Arabidopsis thaliana: one gene and its partners. The protein of the gene in region 4 interacts with the protein of the main gene of each other region in a pairwise test. Each region holds a gene or a part of one and is shown on either strand. Other genes may lie near its edges. The genes, in order: CUL3, NIMIN-3, NIMIN1 and NPR1.

What was found.
Region 1: the proteins of NPR1 (region 4) and CUL3 interact in binary tests that used the Arabidopsis thaliana proteins (3 or more experiments, as listed by UniProt).
Region 2: the proteins of NPR1 (region 4) and NIMIN-3 interact in binary tests that used the Arabidopsis thaliana proteins (3 or more experiments, as listed by UniProt).
Region 3: the proteins of NPR1 (region 4) and NIMIN1 interact in binary tests that used the Arabidopsis thaliana proteins (3 or more experiments, as listed by UniProt).

Annotation. Positions count from the first base shown.
Region 1 is NC_003070.9:9,293,534-9,299,129, forward strand, and holds CUL3 (cullin 3), read left to right. Parts: upstream 1-2,031; 5' UTR 2,032-2,398; intron 2,399-2,519; 5' UTR 2,520-2,529; coding exon 2,530-2,690; intron 2,691-2,803; coding exon 2,804-4,841; 3' UTR 4,842-5,096; downstream 5,097-5,596. Other genes in the region: RNS3 (ribonuclease 3), read right to left, coding at 1-16, 100-189; ORC6 (origin recognition complex protein 6), read left to right, coding at 5,289-5,408, 5,503-5,549. UniProt on the Arabidopsis thaliana protein: Component of the cullin-RING ubiquitin ligases (CRL), or CUL3-RBX1-BTB protein E3 ligase complexes which mediate the ubiquitination and subsequent proteasomal degradation of target proteins.
Region 2 is NC_003070.9:3,037,212-3,040,322, forward strand, and holds NIMIN-3 (NIM1-interacting 3), read right to left. Parts: upstream 1,198-3,111; 5' UTR 1,038-1,197; coding exon 699-1,037; 3' UTR 543-698; downstream 1-542. Other genes in the region: AT1G09410 (pentatricopeptide (PPR) repeat-containing protein), read left to right, coding at 1-349; G6PD4 (glucose-6-phosphate dehydrogenase 4), read right to left, coding at 1,429-1,666, 1,760-1,960, 2,036-2,232, 2,303-2,459, 2,579-2,613, 2,713-2,821, 2,902-3,107.
Region 3 is NC_003070.9:497,379-500,263, forward strand, and holds NIMIN1 (NIM1-interacting 1), read right to left. Parts: upstream 1,162-2,885; 5' UTR 1,103-1,161; coding exon 674-1,102; 3' UTR 539-673; downstream 1-538. Other genes in the region: ARFD1A (ADP-ribosylation factor D1A), read right to left, coding at 1-101.
Region 4 is NC_003070.9:23,852,208-23,857,312, forward strand, and holds NPR1 (regulatory protein (NPR1)), read right to left. Parts: upstream 3,452-5,105; 5' UTR 3,201-3,451; coding exon 2,640-3,200; intron 2,561-2,639; coding exon 1,825-2,560; intron 1,717-1,824; coding exon 1,513-1,716; intron 1,403-1,512; coding exon 1,122-1,402; 3' UTR 541-1,121; downstream 1-540. UniProt on the Arabidopsis thaliana protein: Salicylic acid (SA)-binding substrate-specific adapter of an E3 ubiquitin-protein ligase complex (CUL3-RBX1-BTB) which mediates the ubiquitination and subsequent proteasomal degradation of target proteins.

The DNA of each region.
Region 1 (5,596 bases), about 15 Mb from region 4:
AATACGCTCCAGGCCACTGCATTGCAACGCACATACACAAACATAAAATTTCAAAGTACAATGATAATTCTTGTAGAGACATTTATCGACTTTAATTACCTGTAAAACGAAGTAGAAGAAATCGAAATCTTGGGCGAAACTTTGTACGTAGAGTTGTTGTAACGCTAGAATAAAAATGAAGAATTTCATTTCCTCAAGATATCAAATAATTTGTGGGAATCAAATTTGTCGAAAACCAATGAAGGATGGATGATAGATAAATAGTTTAGAATATGTTTATATAAGTCATATAACGTGAAGTGTGATATTTTGTTTTGGGTAGAGAGACGTGACGTGTGATTGGTATATGTTTGCTTAATTGTGTTAGGTTAGTATTTCGTGCAAGCATTTTATTTTCAGCTCCAATGCTTTAAAAAGTAATAACGTAAGGCAAACTTTTCATCATGCTTCAACTACAAAATTATGAGTATTTTGTAGCTCCAATTAACGTAACGTAAGGCAAACTTTCCAGCTCCAATGTTTTAGAGCTAGCCGAATATTATGTGTCTCAGTATTTATAAAATTATGAGTATTCGATTGGAAAAATAAATAAAGAAACTCTTATAGTATTCACTTAAAGACCTTTGTTTCTTAAATTTTAAATATTTAAATCCACTTAAAGATCCTTGTTTCTCATAAAGTGTTAAAGACCCATAAAGGCATAAATCAAACCATTGTCCCGTCTCGGAAACGTACGTCAAGTTTCTTGATGAGGCGCATGTTGGCTACTTGGTTCTACTTCTACAGTTACAGACTCCAGTGTGTACCGTATTCTATCAAGTTCTGCATTTATGCAAGAACCTTAGGTATCACAAATATTTGGGGGCAATAAAATTATAAAAATTCCTTACAGTGCAGCGATTTATGTCACATTTTCAGCCAAGAGGTTGTGTGTTCGAGTTCCCTCAACTACTTCTGCTAATTTTTTTATTAAAAAAAAAAAACTTTAGACCGCCCATAACTTTGAGCCGGCAATGATCCTACCTCACAATCATACTAAAATCTACCAATGATCCTTACCATGTTTTGGCGCTTGAGGTGGATACGAATAATCCACTAGTTGGGTTAACCTTATAGGGAAGGTGAAGATTGTTATAAAGTTTGTAGATTATACAATGAAAAGTAAGAAGATAGGTCCAAGTCAAAGTTTGTATGATTAAAACAAGAAAGATGGTATATACCATGCGTTGCTTTCCAGAAAATGGCTTCAAGAAAGCAAAGACAAAGAATATCATCATGAGCTTGACCAGGGATAAGGAAGAAGATCCATTGACGTGTTTACAACGACAAAAACTAGTTAGAAGTTAGAACATAGTGTCGCTGAAGTTGTGGAGGAAATGCATTTTTTAAACAGATGCATAGAGACGATTGAATATGGCATCGAAACAGTGAATGCAAGCAACAAAGGTTGGTAAACTGGTGAAGAGAAAGGTAACAGACGATATAACTTTTTTTGTGAATGAATTAAAAGGGATTTTTTTTTTTCGTCAAGAAGCTGAAATTTCATTAAACCGAAACTTAAACCGATACATAAGTTGGTACAATAAGTGCATAATTTAATGCAGATTTTGCATATGCATATGCACAACCGTTTTTTTCTCTAAAAATGAAGTGAAAAGAAATTTGATCGAAATTAAACGAAAGAGCAAGAACATCTTGGAAAATCACGTAGAGATTCTTTGGGAAGGATTCTGAGTTGATAGCTTTGATCAGCGTTTGCAAATCTGAAGCGAAGGTGACTTCCTAAAACCGAGTTCTAAGGCATTTTGTTGGGCTAGATGAAGCGCCATGGCTTCTGCCAAAAGAGGAGAAGCAACATTCGCCACTCTAAGGGATTCAAAGCCTCTTTATGAAATAGAAGTTGACATATTTTTAGTTCAATTAAATGAAATGACCGACGTGCCAATTTGTCATATCCACATAAGTATAAAAGCTAACTAAACCTCCAATGTCAAAAAAAAAAAAATAACTGGCTTCGACTAGGGATCGATCCTTGGACTTCGATATTTCACAATTCTTTGTAACCAATATACCAAAGGACGAGAATGTGACAACCGCGACTTTAATTTAATAAATACGTTATAGTTTGGAAACCACCAGCAGAGACGGAGAGTCCACTTTTATTTCTTCCGCTCCGTTTGGTCTGTCCTCTTCTTCTTCTCCACCTTCGAAATCTATCTTCTCCGATACCTCTCTATCTATATCTCTTCGACGCTGCAAATTAGCCTTAAGCTTCTTTCTCCTTTAAACTTTTCGATTATTATTCCATTTCCTATCTTTTTGTTTCCCCCAAATCTTTTCACGGAAGCAAAGAATACAATTCCAAACCCTAATCCCGATCATCCGTCTTTCCTCTCCGGTCAGTCTTCCGATTTCCTCGATCCACCTGATTTTCATTATGATTATACATATATACTTTCTTCTCGCTCGTCAATTTTTTCGTTGCTGTGTGAATTTAGATTGATTTGTTTTGGATTCAGGTTTCAAAATATGAGTAATCAGAAGAAGAGGAATTTTCAGATAGAGGCGTTTAAGCATCGAGTCGTTGTGGATCCCAAATACGCTGATAAAACTTGGCAGATTCTTGAGCGTGCGATCCATCAGATTTACAATCAAGATGCTAGCGGTCTCAGTTTCGAAGAACTTTACAGGTCAATTTCTTTCATTCTCTTGCCTTTCTTTGAATCCTGTAGAAACTGGTAATGTTTCTGGAACTTAGCTAGGTTTCGTGTTAATGGAATTATTTGTGTATATTGTGGCTCAGAAATGCGTACAACATGGTCCTGCACAAGTTTGGTGAGAAGCTATATACTGGGTTTATTGCTACTATGACTTCTCATCTCAAAGAAAAATCCAAGCTTATCGAGGCAGCTCAGGGAGGGTCGTTTCTAGAAGAGCTTAATAAGAAATGGAATGAGCACAACAAAGCGTTAGAGATGATTCGAGACATTCTCATGTATATGGATAGGACTTATATTGAGAGCACCAAAAAGACTCATGTTCATCCGATGGGGCTTAACTTGTGGAGGGATAATGTTGTGCATTTCACTAAGATACATACAAGGCTTCTAAACACTCTTCTTGATCTAGTGCAGAAGGAACGGATAGGTGAAGTTATTGATAGGGGGTTGATGAGGAATGTCATTAAGATGTTTATGGATTTGGGTGAATCTGTGTATCAGGAGGATTTTGAGAAGCCGTTTTTGGATGCGTCTTCTGAGTTTTATAAGGTTGAGTCTCAGGAGTTTATTGAATCTTGTGATTGTGGGGACTATCTGAAGAAATCAGAGAAACGCCTTACTGAAGAGATAGAGAGGGTAGCGCACTACTTAGATGCCAAGAGCGAAGAGAAGATTACTAGTGTGGTTGAGAAAGAGATGATTGCCAACCACATGCAGAGACTGGTTCACATGGAGAACTCAGGTCTGGTTAATATGCTTCTGAATGACAAGTATGAGGATTTGGGTAGAATGTACAACTTGTTTCGCAGGGTTACTAATGGTCTTGTTACTGTCAGAGACGTTATGACTTCGCATCTTAGGGAGATGGGAAAACAACTGGTTACTGATCCGGAAAAGTCAAAGGATCCGGTGGAATTTGTACAACGTCTATTGGATGAGCGGGATAAATATGACAAAATCATCAACACCGCATTTGGCAATGATAAAACCTTTCAGAATGCCCTGAATTCTTCATTCGAGTATTTCATCAACTTGAATGCTCGTTCTCCTGAGTTTATCTCCCTGTTTGTTGATGACAAGCTACGGAAAGGACTTAAGGGTATCACCGATGTGGATGTTGAGGTTATCCTTGATAAAGTGATGATGCTGTTCCGTTATTTACAAGAGAAAGATGTCTTTGAGAAGTACTACAAGCAGCATTTGGCTAAAAGGCTTCTCTCAGGCAAAACTGTGTCAGATGACGCAGAAAGGAGTTTAATAGTGAAACTAAAGACAGAATGTGGCTATCAGTTCACTTCAAAATTGGAAGGCATGTTCACTGACATGAAGACTTCAGAGGACACAATGCGTGGGTTTTATGGCAGTCACCCCGAGCTTTCAGAAGGACCTACACTTATTGTTCAGGTACTTACAACTGGTTCTTGGCCAACACAGCCTGCAGTACCTTGTAATCTCCCAGCTGAAGTTTCAGTTCTCTGTGAGAAGTTCCGTTCTTACTACCTTGGGACACATACCGGTAGAAGATTGTCCTGGCAAACAAACATGGGCACAGCAGATATCAAAGCCATCTTTGGAAAGGGTCAGAAACATGAACTGAACGTGTCGACTTTCCAGATGTGTGTTCTCATGTTGTTCAACAATTCTGATCGACTCAGCTACAAAGAGATCGAACAGGCTACAGAAATCCCGGCAGCAGATCTTAAACGCTGTTTGCAGTCGCTAGCTTGTGTAAAGGGCAAAAACGTGATAAAGAAAGAACCCATGAGCAAAGACATAGGAGAGGAGGATTTGTTCGTTGTGAACGACAAGTTCACTAGCAAGTTTTACAAAGTGAAGATCGGAACTGTGGTTGCCCAAAAGGAAACAGAACCGGAGAAGCAAGAGACGAGACAGAGAGTGGAGGAAGACAGAAAACCTCAGATTGAAGCAGCCATCGTAAGGATCATGAAGTCCAGGAAAATACTAGACCACAACAACATAATCGCCGAGGTGACGAAACAGTTGCAGCCACGGTTCCTAGCTAATCCCACGGAGATAAAGAAGAGAATCGAGTCGCTCATTGAACGAGATTTCTTGGAAAGGGATAGTACAGACCGGAAACTTTACCGCTATCTAGCCTAAATAAGTTGAATACCACAACCCAAAAAAAAAAGGCTTTACTCTGTTTCTTTCTTTGCTTTATTTCCTTATGTTTGATGTAAAATCTTTTGAACTGTACGGTAGTCGGTAAGAACGAACCAACACAGCGTCACTACCGGTTTAATCGAATATACATTTGTTTCCTTTTCTTTTGTCTTTCATCAGATACCGTATGTGATTTCAGCTTCTGGACACGTTGGGCCGGCTCGAGGCCTTTTAAGGCCCATTTTAAACGGTTAAGAGCCAAAAAAAACATTCGCGGCTAAAATTTCAACCAGGCGTAAAAAAATCCCGCCAAACGTTGGCAACGCTTTGTTTATAGCGTTTTCATAGCCTAATCGGTTCCATTGACATTTCTAGGGGAAAAAATCTCTCACAGTGTCTGACTTTGGTTCTTTGTCTTGTAACAATCGCCGGAAAATTAAGGATATGGATATCTCCGACATAGGTAGGAAACTTAGTCTCGATAACAACAAGCTTTTAATCAGAAAAGCTGCAGAGATCCGCCGTCTTTGCGATGCTCAGTTCGATTCATCCATCATCGGCGTTGTAAGATAAATCCGATTCTGAATCCCAAAGTTTCACATCGAGTACTTTGATTATAATTTTTCCTTATGTGTTGAGAATTTGATTTTTCTATCAGGGTGAGATCTGTAAAGCTGTGATTTGTCTAGAAATCGCCGCCACTAGGTAAATAATTATCGTAATTGATTTATAACGATTTCAATATCCATAGT
Region 2 (3,111 bases), about 21 Mb from region 4:
TAGCCATCCCGAGCAGGAATCTATTTTGAAGATACTGGATGAATTGGATGGGTTATTGAGAGAAGCCGGGTATAATCCTGATTGCAGCTATGCATTGCACGATGTAGACGAGGAAGAGAAAGTCAATAGCCTGAAATATCATAGCGAGAGACTAGCGGTAGCTTATGCTCTTTTAAAGCTATCTGAAGGAATACCCATCCGAGTCATGAAGAACCTTAGAGTTTGTAGTGATTGCCACACAGCAATAAAAATAATCTCTAAGGTGAAAGAGAGGGAGATCATTCTAAGAGATGCAAACAGATTCCATCACTTCAGAAACGGAGAGTGTTCCTGTAAAGATTACTGGTGAGATTCAATAAATGCCAAGCAGAATGTTTTTTTTTAATCTTAGGCTTAGCTATCAATCCTCGTTGGAGCGTTGGCAAAATGGAGTAATTCTCGCAAACCATAGGAACTTGCTCAGCCATTGATGAGAGTTCTCTCTAAGTTCTTCTGCTAATATATATATATTTTTTTACTGATCTTGTTATCAATGTGCATTTGTAGCATTTTCTTCAATATGGTTAATAAGAAGTGATGAACAATCTTCAAGCAAAACTAGAATTCCATGACACATTTGTTTTTGGTACGTAGTTACTAACATTCTTTGTTGCTTATACAGAAACTGAAGAGCTCTTTGTCTCTTGTATGTATGTATGCTACAGAGAAAGATTCAAGTCTAAACAAACGTTAGTCTCAGATCCTTCTTGCTTTTCCTTAGAGCCATCATACTCGTTGGATGCTGAAGAGCTCTCATTAGCTGCTTTTTCAATGTTGTTGGCCTCTGCTTTATTCATGAAAATGAAATCTTCTGGCTGAAACGAAGGGAATCTACGAACCCTTGCTCTTTCTTCTTCTTCCTGTCTCTTCTTCTCCATGGAGCTGTTGACATATTTCCGCATTTCCCTTGCGTTTTTAAGCACTGTGTACAACTTCTCCATCTTTTCTTCTTCGTCATCTTCCTTCTCCATTTTCACCCTCTTTCTGTCTCTGTCCATTGAACCGCTCTCTCTTCCTTCCCCTATGAAAATGTTTCTCTTTAGTTACATCATTTTCATCCTACTTTGATCATCAACACATGATACATCTGGAAGAATTTTCTGGAGGAATTGGTGGAGAAGATATAATTATTGCCTCTAGTGGGAAGACTAACAACATGACCTTATCTAAAAGTCTCTCAGACTTTCTTCTTTCCTTTGGGTGGCTTTGGAGACTTTTCAACACTATTATGGACCCCACCATGATGGACATTCATATAGCAACATGACATACATGTGTACATATGTACAGTCTACAGGGAATGGCACAGCTTCAAGCTAAACAAACACACTTCACAATAACCATTCAGAATCACTCTCATTTGTTTGTTGCTGCATCTATGTTTCTTCTTCAGTCATCTGCCCATGGGACACCGTGCTTGGCCCAAAGATAGTATGCCGCAACTGGTCCTCGTCCACCAAATTCATACAACTCCGGAGCTGTGTGATGCTTGTCTATCTCTTCTAGAACCGGACTAAGAATGTTCCATGCTGCTGCAACCTCATCGCTTCTCATGAACAGATGATTGTCTCCGTCAATTACATCATGAATTAGGTGTTCATATGAGTCTGGTACTTCGGTTTTATACCTACAGGTTTGATCCAACAATTCAACCAACCATAAGGCGCAAAAGTTCGATTTTTAAAATGTGTAGGAACAAAGATGAGAATGCAAAACTTGCCTGTCTTTATAGAGCAAGTTAAGTTCAGAAGCGTCTAGCTGAAGACCTAAACCAGGAACCTTGTTGTTGATTTTCACCAGGATGGCCTCATCAGGTTCGTCACGTAGAATAAGCTCATTTGTCCCCAAATCTATGTTTATTCCAATATTTTCTCGGTATAGGTTTCCAGGAACATGCCGGAATTGCACATGAATCTCCACTCTTTCAACATTAAGGCACACCAATCAATTGTTATGACAGTTGGATATGTCTATGAGTAGGAATAATTATTCTTACCTGTGTTTAATGAGGCCAGTGCCAACTCTTACAAGGAAAGGTACACCATCCCAACGTGCATTATCAATATACAAGGCTGCTGCACAATATGTAGGGTCTACACCGTTCAAGATCACACCGTTCTTGTCTCGGGAACTGGATTTATACTGGCCAAGGATGACATCACGCGGGTCTATCTTGCGAATTGATCTTAAAACCTTCACCTGCAGAAGCAGGTTTGTCACCAAGTCACTTGACAGAACAAGAGTACACAACTTACATATATACCATAAGACGATTTTGTTCTTTACAGTACAGGTTGACCTTTTCATTTCGGATATCTTCACCATCGAGACTTATCGGAGGTTCCATGGCAAGTAATGCGATTGTCTGAAGTATATGGCTGTGCACTATGTCCCGTATTATTCCATATCCATCAGAAAACCTTAAAAAAAGCAGTAGGAAATTAGAAAATAACATTACTGATTTGTCTAAGAATGCTGAAACAACACAATTTACTCTCACATGCAAAGAAATGGTGAAAATAGAACTATTGTGCCTTACTTTTCTGTTTGCGCAATTGATTCTGATATAATAACCTGGAAACATCATTTATACACAAAGTGAACAAACCAGAATGTGGAAGAGGAAAGTTCAGGCACTATACACAACTACAAACAATCAGAAGGAAACACTACCTGTATATTGCGTATGTATGTTCTGTTCCATAGTGGTTCAAAAACTAGATTTGAAAACCTTAACACTGTCAGATTTTCAATGAGGTTTCTTCCTAACATGTGATCTATCCTGTAACGGGCACAGAAGTGTGAAGAAATATGAACTTGAGAGCTGTGCATGCAGAAAGCAACTAGATTTAAAAGAAGGACCTGTAGATTTGCTTCTCTTCAAACTTAGAGAGAAGTGACTTTGTTAACTGATGAGACGAATGTGAGTTAAAACCAAAAGGTTTCTCAACTATTATTCGAGTCCAGCCTCGTGGTGCCTGAGCGTTATCTCCAATGGTGCATGCCACATCCACCAGAGCTTCTTGAGGTACTGAGAGGTAAAAGATTCTATTTGCTTCTGATTCTCCCTGA
Region 3 (2,885 bases), about 23 Mb from region 4:
ATTATTGATGATTTTCCGGTACCGCCGAGACCAAACAACACGATCCTCGCTTCTTCTTGGTGAAAAAAACCGGCAAATGGCTTTCCCAGAGTCGTCCCCATTTTTTTCTGGTTCTTGCAACGAAGTTGACTTTTTTTGGCTTTGGAAAATATGAATCACAAGGAGAGTCCTTGAGAGAGTTTTTCAAAGTCAAGTGGTGGTTAAAGCTTAAGAGTTCAGAGTTGTCTAGTCTGTTTCAAGATCCGAGGAATCACAATCAAAAGTCATCTGGTTGACTTTTGGATTATTAGTTGTCCGATTCATATTTGTTTATGCAACTAGTTGCGTATTTGTTATAATCTTTATATTTGACTAGATAACAAATCTGGTCAGCAAAAAAGGTTTAAAGTAATGATCTTCTTAAACAGATAATTATACAACACATAAAATTTAAACAAACTTTGCAATATTCAATTCTTACAGAATGATAAATTTTATTGGTTTTGGTTTTGCTCTAAAGAATTACGGTTTACCGAATCAATCCCATCTGACAGGATGTTTTGCCTCACGATTCTTTTGAGTTTATTCATTTTAAAGTTAATTATCGGACATTTTAGTTAAATGAAGGATTTAATAATCACAACGCTAACAAATGAAACATGGACAATTAAAAATAGATTAAAACTAATTGCTACTACAATGCAAGATTAAGATCTAAAGCCTTGTCTTCGTTTCGCTCTTCTGTTTGATCTTCTTCTTGTTCCACCTTTGTATTTTCTTCCTTGTGATCCGAAACAAACATCAATGGCGGCTTCAAACCCGTACGACACTGAGAGAAATCCTCCGGCTGAAACGCCGGAACTACTATACCGGACCTTTCTCCGCCGTTAGATTTCCTCCTCACGACGCCAGAATTTTCAGCTAACTCTTCTCGTCTACGTTTCCGTGCTTCTTGATAGTGTTTGATAAGCTTAAAGAACGTATCAATCTTCTTCTCTTCTTCCTCTTCTTCGTCTTCTCTTACTCTCTTATCAACCCTGATCGTCTCTTTGCTCTCCACATTCTCATCCTTGCTCATGGTCTCTAGGGAATAATTGTATAAACTAAATTGTTTAGGATACATTTAGAGAAAGTGATTGATTTTGGAGAGTGAAGAAGGCAAATAATCCTTTTCGTCTGATGACTTTCTTTTAAAGGAAAAAAATTAGTCATCACGAAACTTCTTAGAAAAAGACTAAAACACCCTGTCCCCACCTCTTTTACTCTTTAGTCCTTTTAGTTTCCTAGTTACAATTTAAACCACAAAAAACGAAAATTGGAGATATTTTTCCAAGTTAGTTAGGATATTTAATTTCGAAACTTTATAAATGGGTTTTTTGGTTCCCTGTAAATTCAAAATAGTAATCATAATTTTTATAATTGTTAAAAAAGGGACCAGGGGTAAAAGAGTAAAAGAACGCGGAGATATCAACGTTAAAATTACGTCAGATGATGATGTGTTTGGGATGACAACGTGACATGAAGCGGTTACGAGATGATGTCACAATGATGACGTAATCTATACAACACTAATCTACTTGGATATACTTTTGAAATAAAGAAAGACTCTAATCATCAAAAACTTGACTTGATGCGTTTACTTTACTCGTGGTTGGTCTTGGAGAGATATTCTAGTAGATCCGAGTGTACAGCACTCTATTACTATCAACCGTTAGATCTAATATTTCAGGCATATGTTTTTGAATCTAAGGATGGAGAATACCATAATGCTTGAAAAGGTTGATATATTAACGTACTATTTTACTATTAAATTGTGAATGATGAGGTTATATAAAAGATTTGTCGAATAAAATCTCATATTGTCGGCCACTTGTATGTAAATTAAATTAATTTGTATATGTGAAATTTGTGTGGAACAATTGGATTCCAACGAAGAACATTTTTTCCCCTATTTTTGGTATTTTAAATGAATGGTAATTAGATTACCTCTATTGATGTTACATAAACAAAAAGAAACTAGATTTTAACCCGCGGTATATCGCGGGACGATTTATTTTTAAAAATAATATATATTAAAACTTGCAAATTTTATTTTTATAAAATATTTATATTTTACAGTTTATAATTGTTATTAAGTAACGCTATACCACGAATTCATGAGACAATTGTTAAAAAAACTGAAGTTTTGACCCCTATTAAAACAGCATATTAATAATATTTTAAAATTTTATAAATATTGATTCAAATACATCCACCATATAACCCAATTCCAAAATAAAACACGTTCTGTAATTTCTTTAGGCGTCCCATGATTTTTTTTTAAAGTAGTAATTTTTAAAATTTAAGAATTATTTTTTATATATAAAAGTTTTGCAAATTGTATCATTCTCTAATACATTTATATTTTATAGTTTAATTTTATATATAGTAACATTATACATACCACATAACATTTTTGGTTTTATATAATTTTTTCTAAATTAGGATGATTTGATATGTTTAATATTAGTGGTCTTAAAATTAATGATTTAACCCATATTGAAACGGTGGATTAATTATATTTTACTTTTTTATTAATGTTGATTCAAAAACTCGTCCCTCCATGTTGACTCTGAATTATAATCTAAACATTTTAGCTAATAACATAAGAGTGCACCATATTTATTTAATAGGGGAATGTACCATATGACCTGAATGCATTTTTATCCAAATCCACCAAAACATTCTTGCAAAAATACTATAGAGATAAGAAACGATAGTCGGTTTTGATAGATATAAGATTAGCAAATATATTAGTTAGCTTAAATTAGTTAAAGAATACAAATTAAAAAGGTATATTACACTTTATTCAAATATAGTATCAAAACTTATATAACACAGAGATTTGATAATTTTTTAATTGTTGA
Region 4 (5,105 bases):
GACTTGAACGGCAAGTACCCTATGAAATTGATGATTTCCTCAGGACTCGACGCTGATGATTGCTTTTTCCCGCTTGCCTTTCCGCTTACCAAAGAAGTGTCCACTGATAGTTGGCGTTGGTTTCTCACTAATATCAGAGAGAAGGTAACACAAAGGAAAGACGTTTGCCTCGTCTCCAGTCCTCACCCGGACATAGTTGCTGTTATTAACGAACCCGGATCACTGTGGCAAGAACCTTGGGTCTATCACAGGTTCTGTCTGGATTGTTTTTGCTTACAATTCCATGATATTTTTGGAGACTACAACCTGGTGAGCCTTGTGAAGCAGGCTGGATCCACAAGTCAGAAGGAAGAATTTGATTCCTACATAAAGGACATCAAAAAGAAGGACTCAGAAGCTCGGAAATGGTTAGCCCAATTCCCTCAAAATCAGTGGGCTCTGGCTCATGACCAGTGGTCGGAGATATGGAGTCATGACGATAGAAACAGAAGATTTGAGGGCAATTTGTGAAAGCTTTCAGTCTCTTGGTCTATCAGTGACAGCGAACGCACCTGCACATGTGGGAAGTTTCAATCGAAGAAGTTTCCATGTATGCACCCAGAAATGGTGCAAAGGATTGTTAACTTGTGTCATTCACAAATGTTGGATGCAATGGAGCTGACTAGGAGAATGCACCTTACACGCCCACTCAGTGTTCTCTTATCTCTAGACCTGAAACTAACTTGCTGTGTAATTCGAGTTACAAAAGGTTAAAGGAAGAATTAGGAAGATACATATAACATGAATGTTGCCAGAAGTTCAGGGAACTTGAATATTCTTTTGGTTCTTGGTGGAAAATATCCAACAGATGAACAATTTGACATTATTTCACACTTTGATTCTAGCAACTCTGTAACACCATCATGGGTTATTGTTGATGTACATAAATATATATTACAAATCTGTATACCATTGGTTCAAATTGTTACAACATTTGTTTGAAGCACACCTGCAGCAATAATACACAGGATGCAAAACGAAGAGCGAAACTATATGACGCCAACGATAGACATAAACAGTTACAGTCATCATGAAAACAGAATTATATGGTACAGCAAAAATTACACTAAGAGGCAAGAGTCTCACCGACGACGATGAGAGAGTTTACGGTTAGACCTCTTTCCACCGGTTGATTTCGATGTGGAAGAAGTCGAATCTGTCAGGGACGAATTTCCTAATTCCAAATTGTCCTCACTAAAGGCCTTCTTTAGTGTCTCTTGTATTTCCATGTACCTTTGCTTCTTTTGTAGTCGTTTCTCAGCAGTGTCGTCTTCTCCGCAAGCCAGTTGAGTCAAGTCCTCACAGTTCATAATCTGGTCGAGCACTGCCGAACAGCGCGGGAAGAATCGTTTCCCGAGTTCCACTGATGATAAAAAAACAAGGTCAGACAGCAAGTAACAAAACCATGTTTAAAGATCATTTAGTTTTGTTTTTTGTGATAAGGAGTCCGATGAAGTGGGTGAGAATCCATACCGGTTTTAGAAAGCGCTTTTAGTCTACTTTGATGCTCTTCTAGGATTCTGAAAGGTGCTATCTTTACACCCGGTGATGTTCTCTTCGTACCAGTGAGACGGTCAGGCTCGAGGCTAGTCACTATGAACTCACATGTTCCCTTCATTTCGGCGATCTCCATTGCAGCTTGTGCTTCCGTTGGAAAAAGACGTTGAGCAAGTGCAACTAAACAGTGGACGACACAAAGAATAGTTATCATTAGTTCACTCAGTTTCCTAATAGAGAGGACATAAATTTAATTCAAACATATAAGAAATAAGACTTGATAGATACCTCTATTTTCAAGATCGAGCAGCGTCATCTTCAATTCATCGGCCGCCACTGCAAAAGAGGGAGGAACATCTCTAGGAATTTGTTCTCGTTTGTCTTCTTGCTCTAGTATTTCTACACATAGTCGGCCTTTGAGAGAATGCTTGCATTGCTCCGGGATATTATTACATTCAACCGCCATAGTGGCTTGTTTTGCGATCATGAGTGCGGTTCTACCTTCCAAAGTTGCTTCTGATGCACTTGCACCTTTTTCCAATAGAGATAGTATCAATTGTGGCTCCTTCCGCATCGCAGCAACATGAAGCACCGTATATCCCCTCGGATTCCTATGGTTGACATCGGCAAGATCAAGTTTTAAAAGATCTGTTGCGGTCTTCACATTGCAATATGCAACAGCGAAATGAAGAGCACACGCATCATCTAGATTGGTGTGATCCTCTTTCAAAAGCAACTTGACTAACTCAATATCATCCGAGTCAAGTGCCTTATGTACATTCGAGACATGTTTCTTTACTTTAGGTACCTCCAAACCAAGCTCTTTACGTCTATCAATTATCTCTTTAACAAGCTCTTCCGGCAATGACTTTTCAAGACTAACCATATCTACATTAGACTTGACAATAATCTCTTTACATCTATCCAATAGCTTCATACAAGCTTTACCACATATATTAGCAAGCTTGAGTATAACCAATGTGTCCTCTATAACAACTTTGTCTACAACGTCCAATAAGTGCCTCTGAAATACAAATACAAGTACTCAAGTAAGAACATATTCATGAATGTGTAACCATAGCTTAATGCAGATGGTGTTTTACCTGATAGAGAGTAATTAATTCAGGGATCTTGAAGATGAAAGCCAAATAGAGAACCTCCAACATGAAATCCACCGCCGGCCGGCAAGCCACGTGGCAGCAATTCTCGTCTGCGCATTCAGAAACTCCTTTAGGCGGCGGTCTCACTCTGCTGCTGTAAACATAAGCCAAAACAGTCACAACCGAATCGAAACCGACTTCGTAATCCTTGGCAATCTCCTTAAGCTCGAGCTTCACGGCGGCGGTGTTGTTGGAGTCTTTCTCCTTCTTAGCGGCGGCTAAAGCGCTCTTGAAGAAAGAGCTTCTCGCTGACAAAACGCACCGGTGGAAAGAAACTTCCCGGCCGTCGGAGAGAACAAGCTTAGCGTCGCTGTAGAAATCATCCGGCGAGTCAAAGACGGATTCGAAGCTGTTGGAGAGCAATTGCAGAGCAGATACATCAGGTCCGGTGAGTACTTGTTCGGCGGCCAGATAAACAATAGAGGAGTCGGTGTTATCGGTAGCGACGAAACTAGTGCTGCTGATTTCATAAGAATCGGCGAATCCATCAATGGTGGTGTCCATCAACAGGTTCCGATGAATTGAAATTCACAAATTAAAGAGATCTCTGCTAATCAACGAAGAGACCTTATCAACTGGATTTGGTTAAAGATCGAAGATAACCATTGACGAGCAGAGCCAAGTCAAGTCAACGAGAGTGGTGGTGAGATATGAAGAAGCATCCTCGTCCCACGGTTTACATTTCACCAAAACCGGTAAATTTCCAGGAAAGGAATCTTTGTCAGAGATCTTTTTTAAAAAGATATAACAGGAAGCTAAACCGGTTCGGGTTATAAATGTTAGTATTTATACCGGAGACATTTTGTGTTGCTAATTTTTGTATATGAGAAGTTCAATCCGGTTCGGTAAGCCCCTGAACCAAACTAGATTTGGAGATGATATAAATATATAAAATTTATTTTTCATCCGGTTCGTTATTTTCATATAAATATATAAATATTATTTTTTAAATTTAAGAATTAGATTTACATGTGAAAGTTACATTTCTGTTTATTTTCTTTGAAGTAAAATGATAAAGGGAACGTATATTAAGTTTCATGCTTTATTCACATAAGTTTTGTAATGTATATTATATTTTTCGTTTATTGAAAAAGTAATTTTCAGTGTTCAGCATGTTTACACTATAATTAAATCAAGTCGAATATTTCCTGGAACTATTCTCCTTGTTCTATAGCAAATGAAAACGCTCTTCACAACAAAATCATTATAGATATAGGAATAAATTACATTAAAAACATGAAAGTCATAATGAATATATTTTTTTAATTAGGATTTGATTTAAAAACAATTATTGTATACATATAAAAGACTTCTTTAGTTATTTGCCTTCAACTTCTCGTTCTGAATCATGCGATAAATCAGCTTTTTCAATAACTACGACGTAAAAGCAAATTCATAACACGTCTAAACAAATTTGGCTCATCCTTCACTTGATTGGTGTTTTCCGGACTCGATGTTGCTGGAAACTGAGAAGAAGAAGGAATCTGCATAATCACCTCTTGGTTCCTCACCGGTAGACTCATTTTGTTGGATCGAAAACGATCGAGATCAGAAAATGAAAAGATAGGTTAAAGATGCCTATGAATACAACAACGTAAGATTATGTTGAATAAACAGAGTACTTTATATAGGAGTTATAATAAGGTAAATAAATTATTGCTTTCCGCGTTTTTTACTTTTGTATTTCTTAAATGATAAGTTAAATTAGGATAAGATTTGTATGATTTTAAGTAAATTTACAATAACTCTCTATAACTCAATAGCATCACATATTTAATTAATTTTACTAATTATCTTTTGAACAATTTTATGAAATAGTTTTCTTTTAATTAATTTTTTAAAATGATATATTATAAAATTTAATTGAATCAATCTGATATAATTTTTTTATCTTCTACCATCTATTATAGTTGATAAATATTGTGATAAACTTTAGATAAACACCCAATTGCCAAATATTTAATAAATTTTGTGTACCATGCGTTTTTTTTGGAGAATATATATACGTGGACAGCATACCGTACATATATTGTATAAAAGCTTATAAAACATAGATACGGGTTATATTGGTAAGCTATAAATATATGTAAACAATAGTAAGATATTACGTGTTGTGTCTAAATATGTGTTGCTTTAGATATTATTGTATATCTAATATATTAAAATATCTTTTATTAACTAATATATTATTTAAGAGAGAAAATTGGGACACTATTTTCTATACAGTAACTGTTTTCAACTATAAACAGGAACCCTTGATATAATAAAATAACTAGCCAAAAAATCAGATTAAATATTCATAAAACAATGTTTGGTATTATTACATAAACCTAAGAAACAAAATTCAATATTCCTTTTTACCTTATAAAAAACAATTAAACATCACTAGATATATTTATGCCCCACAAT